Linked DNA regions of Saccharomyces cerevisiae S288C. The protein of the gene in region 1 interacts with the protein of each later gene in a pairwise test. Each region holds a gene or a part of one and is shown in the gene's direction. Other genes may lie near its edges.

The links.
Region 2: the proteins of SHR3 (region 1) and YMD8 interact in a protein complementation assay, tested with the Saccharomyces cerevisiae proteins (2 studies listed by BioGRID).

The regions. Positions count from the first base shown.
Region 1 is NC_001136.10:76,268-79,560, forward strand, and holds SHR3 (Shr3p), read left to right. Parts: upstream 1-2,158; coding exon 2,159-2,791; downstream 2,792-3,293. Other genes in the region: serine/threonine protein kinase PRR2, read right to left, coding at 1-278; NOP6 (Nop6p), read right to left, coding at 1,022-1,699; YDL211C (uncharacterized protein), read right to left, coding at 3,027-3,293.
Region 2 is NC_001145.3:202,236-205,995, reverse strand, and holds YMD8 (Ymd8p), read left to right. Parts: upstream 1-1,892; coding exon 1,893-3,221; downstream 3,222-3,760. Other genes in the region: CGI121 (Cgi121p), read right to left, coding at 1-354; LFT1 (Lft1p), read left to right, coding at 588-1,610.

The DNA.
Region 1 (3,293 bases):
GTGGTCAGCTTTTGCACGTCCGTGTTTTCATCATCCCGGGAAGATGCAGTAAAGTCTGTCCGAGGTACACTATCTGCAACAGGGAGAGAAGAAAAAACGGAATCATATGATTTATTTAGCGCCTCACCCGTCTTAGCAGCCATATTCACACCAACACTAGTGGGATCGCCTAACGAGACGGAATATGCCCAATTATCGGAATAGGCGTGTTCTGCAGTCAAGGAAGCTGTAGTTTTGTTATTTCTCTGATTATATCGCAGGATTCTAGACAACGACATCACTCCGTATGATAAGTAAAAGGATTACGTACGCTATTGTGAACGTTTTTGCAATCTATCTAGTTTTTCCTATTAACTTTTTTCTTTTCAAAAATTCATAAAGGCAAGGAAATATGTTCCGATTGACAATAAGTTCAGTGAGTGAATGAATGTTAATGAAAAGAATTCAATTTCCAGATTTTCGTATTTATTTTTTTTTTTTGCACCTTTCCTTATTGTGTGACCACAGCCGAAGGTGACGAAGGGATGGAGACTAGCCAAAGAGAGCCGGCTGTTAGACAAAAAAAAAAGCGGAGATTGTTTAACGGATACGTCTTAATAAGCAATCCGGCAGCACCGAGAATGTTTTTACCCTCTGTCCTTTTTCTTGGCGTTCCTATAATTCAAATAACCCCCAATATGCTAACAGCCGTAACCTTAAATGTTAGACATGTTACCCCTGTACGTCATTGCGGGGGGAGTGCATTGATTAAGGGGTAGTAGTAAAAATTCCCACCGGACTTGAAGTGCGGAAAAGTAGCTCCGATTTGGGGAAAAAAAAGTACCAGCCGTCTCGTCTTTCATGATAAAGTGAAATAGAGCAGCGGTAATAATGCGGCGCTATTGCTTCCGGAAGAGTTTACGTATTGGGCATCTTTGCCATTTCTTTTTTTGGCAGTAGCATGATTCTGCACGATTATTTATGTTTTTCCCTTTATTTTCTTTTTGTCTAAGATACATGGCGTATAAAATTAAATTTGTACTCATTTAAGTAGTTTGGCTCTATCAGGATGAATTCCTGCAGGAACAGGCTTGTTGTCTGTTCCAGAGGTTTGAGCTGCAGTGGCGGTAGTTTTGGCGATTTTCTTTTGGTTGCCGTCGTTAATCATCTTTGTCAACCTCTCTTTACGTTCTTCATCCAACTTGATGTTTTTGTTTTTCAATTTTTCTAGACGCTCTTGACTGTTACCACCTCCGCCAACAGTTAGCTCGACATTGATCTTCTTCTCTTTCAGTAAGGTCCCATGTTGTAATAAGGCAATGTCCATACGTCTTTGAATGCCGGTGCGATCTTTGTCAGCATCGAATTCCAAAAATGCAATACCTTTGTCAGCTCTGAGGCGGATCTGGTCGGGTGAACTATTTTTAAAATGGTTTTGCAATTCAACAGCAGTGATGTCTCTAGGTAAGCTACCGACAAAGACAATAAATCTGTTGCCCTTTTTACCATTTTTGCCCTTACCACCACGGCCTCTACGTGTTTTTCTTTTTTTCTTCACGGGTTCTTCACCATCATTTCCGGCTGCACTGTTGGGTCTTTTTCCTTCTGGTGCTTGCTCTTTTTTTACGTCTTTCTCTTGATCTTTTTCCTCCTTACTTTTTCTAAACTGCTGAGCTTTGAGCTGCTTCTTGGTCAACTTTTTATCTTCCTCGGACCCCATTTTAGCTGTAGACGTCTTCAATCTCTATCCTGTCCTCTACATTAGATTACTTTCTCATTTTCTCAGAAAACCTTTTAAGCTCATCGATTAAGAAGAAAAAAATCTTAGAAAATTTTCAGGAATGCCGGGTAAACGTATGGGGAAAGGACTTGGTGAATCGAGTTAATGTGGAGTTCGTAATAATAGTACTCTCATACCAAGTTTTCCATCCATAATTGTTTTTGGTTGCCGTTACTTTACACCATCACCTTTCGCCAATGTAATTGGTGGCTCTTTCCCTCTCCATCTTTTTTTATAATGTACTAAAATTAATACACGATAACAATTTTTTCGGGTTGTGTAAAAACTCTGAAAAATATAAAAAGTTGATGAAAGGACAGATTTAAGTATTTTGGAAGACAGCCGTAAATTCATTGGACTACAGAGCATAAAATCCCGTGATACGATAAAACTCTAACGATGTTCTCATATTCAGATTTCTGTTCTATCGGTACGGCCATGATCTTATCGGCCACAACGTTCCTAATGGGTGTTTTCTTCAGTAACATGCCATACGATTATCATCTTTTATTTAATCCTAACTCTACTCAAGAGCATTTCGATTTGGCACTGAGACATTACCAAATTTTACATGAGACTCCATTGCCGGTGATTGTTACTTTGTGCGTTGTTGCCGGTATTGGCTTAGTTGGTGGTACAATTAAGGTTTTCAAGCCAAACCCTGAACTGCAGATGTTTGAGTATTGTTCATTGGGGTTGTACGTGTTGGCTATCTGTGTGTTTCTCACTAATGTGAAAACAGGTATCGACTGTTCTGTGAGCCATAATTGGGGAGAAGTTACGGAAAATCAGGGTTTGGCAGTTATTGCTTCCTCCAACATAATTTTATTAGTTATGTTTGCCGGTGTTATCATCCTACAAATTGGTTTGTGGTACAGTAACTGGGATTTGCAAAAAAGATTAAAGGAGTTTTATGCTCAAGAAGAAAGAGAAGCTGCCAATGCCGGTAAAAAGACTGAGAAAGTTGACAATGCGAAAAAGAATGATAACAAATCTAAAGGTGCTCAAAAGAGGAAGAACGCCAAAAAATAGGCCATAATATTTTTAACATTTTCTCTTTTTGTCCCTCTTTTCCCGTCTGTGACGAAACAGACGATTATACGAATCTAGTTGTATAGTAAGATCAATATTTATTATATAAATACTGTTGAATAAATAAAACTCTATCTGCTTCGTGCATAAATTTACAAATAATTCCAAAGAAATAGCAACAAGTACCAGCCTTGTTTAGAAGTACGAAAATCTTGGAATCCACTTTTTTCTATTTTTAAATAATTTCTCTCAAAAAGCTATTGGTTTGCTGAATATTTGGCCGAGTAATAGTAGACGCACTGGAACTTGTTTCTTCAATGGATGACTCCGCAGATTCATTGTATGACGATACGTATGAAAATCTCCCGGATTCGTGATCCGCCATCCCATAATAAGGATGTGCTATATATATACCGTCTGAGGAACTAGCTCTGTGTAAATCTCTACCATTTTCAAAGGAATCTCGTTTGCCCTCGCCGTTGGTTGTTACTTTATAATTAAG
Region 2 (3,760 bases), on another chromosome or scaffold:
TTTGTCTACATCGTCAGTATTAGTATGGAACTTAAGGCATATTAACTGTGACGAATCGTCTTTGATTCCGAATTTGAGGAAAGCATCACTAATATTGGAAGTGGGTGAAAGACATAGTACGCACTCGGAATTCAAATTTCTTGTTCTCATCTTGTTATATTTCACTTCTATTAAGGTCTTGTAAATTGCAGAATACATCTGCTCCCCCGAACAGACTAACCGGGGGTCAATAAAGGCAAAGGATGTCGACAATTCACTCATTTTAGAGCGTATTTCTTTAGCATTTTTAACCTGTTCAAACAATGCTAGTGAAACCTTGATATCAGGAAATTGCGGTATGATGGATACTACCATGATGATTGTATAATGGGCAGCGACGACGTATATTTGGTTATATCGACAAATTTGTTGACCGATAAAAGATTGTTGATGTATATTTTGGTTTGCAATTGAAATTTTCGCGCAAAAGATTAAACATGAAATATTGAAATCAATGGTATTAATGATCAACGAATATTACAGATCATCAATTAAAGAAACAAGCATTGTCAGAATCTAAGCTGGTTATTTTTTGGGAAGGACAAATTATGGACGAAAACAAAATAATCGACCAGTTGTTCAGTAAGGAATACACACCGCAAGATGACTCCGAGCAAGCCAAAAATGGAGATGTGTCGTTATATGGGTTATTAGATGAAGTAGCGAACGGTAGGCGGTTGATGAACTGTTTGTTTCATTCACCTATGCAAATGGGGAATAAATTGAGTACCGACAAACTTGATGGGAAATGTCGGCAAATACAAAGAGATTGGATTGATGAGGAAAAAACCATAACTATGAATTCTGGCGCTTTACAGCTGGATGGGCCAGTTCTATTTTCCTGGAGTCATAATGTAGCACCTACTTCTCATCAAGAAACTATAAATACAACCTTCAAGCAGGGCTCTCCGAGCAGAGGAAGCAACAAGCCCAAAATTACTACTACCAGTCAGTTATTTGATAGAGCTTCTGCTGAGATTGATAAGTGTATAAAGCCCAATAGCAAAAGTTGGATGGTGGAAGAAAGATTTGAGAGAAATGAGGCACATACAGCTGATGGCAAGAAACCTTCTACGTGGGCTAATTCCGATTTCAAAGTGGACCCGCTACAGAAATTCGTTGTTAAGGAATTGCCCAAAGAAAAGAAGAAATCAGACGGTGATAAGACAAAGAAAAATAAGTCGAAAAGGAAGAGTTTTTTTGGATTTTGGGGCCATTCTGGTTCTAAATCAGGTTCAAAAAAGAAATCCGAAAAGCCTATAGAGGCCAAAAATGAAATTCAGGATGAGGTAAGCCAAAAATCTGGCCTATCACCTGACGATGATACAACTTTCAGTGATAAAAATACCATCCAATCAAAGCAAGAGAGTATGAGTGATCAACAAGCTGAACCCAAAGTACACGAGCCCGCAGTTACTAACACTGGATGCAGTGAACATGATGATGGTGATGGATTTGAACAGGTACCTGCACAATCTAGTTATCATCCATCCAGCGAGCCCAGCATTGCCAGCACTCCTTCATTAACTCTAGATTCATTCATCCCATTACAACCAAAGAAGAAAATATAATAGATGCTTGTAGGCTTCAACATCTATTAGAGTCATCGGCGACGAGACGCCAAAAAATAAAGCGCAAAATAATCACACCCATTTTTTTTGTCGAGAATGAGAAGGAGATGGCTTAGAACTGGAAATATAAGGGATAGTGGCATCACGAGAAGCTGTTGTTCTGTTTTTTTAAAGTGTCAATTGGCCTGATTATACTCATAACTGCATTTTCATCACTTCCACGATCACTTGAAGTTGTTACAGCGAGTGTTTATACCTTCAATTCTCGTGTCACATTTTGCTATGAATAGGACTGTCTTTTTGGCATTTGTATTTGGATGGTATTTCTGTTCAATAGCTCTCTCCATATACAATAGATGGATGTTCGATCCGAAGGACGGATTGGGTATTGGGTATCCCGTGTTGGTGACAACATTCCATCAGGCTACTTTATGGTTACTATCCGGCATATACATTAAGCTCAGGCATAAGCCAGTGAAAAACGTTTTAAGAAAGAATAATGGTTTTAACTGGAGTTTTTTTCTAAAATTTTTACTCCCTACGGCAGTCGCTTCTGCAGGTGATATCGGGCTCAGTAACGTTTCCTTCCAGTATGTTCCCTTGACAATTTATACAATTATCAAATCTTCGAGCATAGCTTTTGTCCTTTTATTCGGCTGTATCTTCAAGCTAGAAAAGTTTCATTGGAAGTTGGCACTTTCAGTAATAATTATGTTTGTTGGTGTAGCATTAATGGTTTTCAAACCAAGCGATTCCACCAGTACCAAAAACGACCAAGCCTTGGTCATTTTTGGCAGCTTTCTTGTCCTAGCAAGTAGCTGTCTTTCTGGGTTAAGGTGGGTTTATACGCAGTTGATGCTTAGGAACAACCCAATTCAAACTAACACCGCTGCAGCAGTAGAGGAATCTGATGGTGCCCTTTTCACGGAAAATGAAGATAATGTCGATAATGAACCTGTTGTTAACCTCGCCAATAACAAAATGCTGGAGAATTTTGGAGAATCCAAGCCTCACCCAATTCATACAATCCACCAGTTAGCTCCTATAATGGGCATTACTCTGTTGCTTACCTCGCTACTTGTGGAAAAACCATTTCCTGGTATATTCAGCTCTAGCATATTTAGGCTTGATACGAGCAATGGCGGTGTCGGCACGGAAACTACCGTCCTATCCATTGTGAGGGGTATTGTTTTGTTAATTTTACCTGGTTTTGCAGTCTTTTTGTTGACAATTTGTGAGTTTAGTATTTTGGAGCAAACGCCCGTGCTGACCGTATCTATTGTGGGTATAGTGAAGGAACTTTTGACGGTAATATTTGGTATAATTATTCTTTCTGAAAGATTAAGTGGTTTTTACAATTGGTTAGGAATGCTTATTATTATGGCAGATGTATGCTATTATAATTACTTCAGATATAAGCAAGATCTATTACAAAAATATCATTCAGTTTCGACACAAGATAATCGTAACGAGTTAAAGGGATTTCAAGACTTCGAACAGTTAGGAAGCAAGAAAATCGCACCATATTCTATTAGTGTCGACCTAACAAATCAAGAGTATGAGCTTGATATGATTGCTCAAAACGTTAGTCGTTCATCCCAGCAGGTCTGAGAGCGATATAGTAAGAGAGAGAAAGAATAAAGGCAAAAATTTAAAACATGTATACAGCATACTTAAAAGTCCTCTAACAGGACATAAGCAAAGCACATGGGAATAGACAATACATCCGCACATAATTAAAAATATTTTACTAGATAGATTTTATACGAAGGTTCTTCACACTTTTTCATATATACTTTATTGACAGTTAATAAAAGAACATTATCAAATTTATACCTTTGCGTTTTAGACACTAAATTATTGAATACAGGAAAGAAGAGGCACTTAGATAAATCTTTAGAAATTTACTTATTTCTTTCATTTAAATTGGCCAATGCTTTTGGATCCATTCAACTGCGGCCGTAAAAATATCGATGCGCTTGCATTGTGTTCAACCTCTGTCTCGCCGAATCTTTAGCTGAAGTAAGGAAGAATTGTTTGATAATTTTGGTTAGGTAAATAATTTCACGTATAATGAACCAGAAGTCCTCGAGAAAACTGGAAAGTTAACGAAACAGAATGAGCATCCTTACACAATTTTAACATTCATC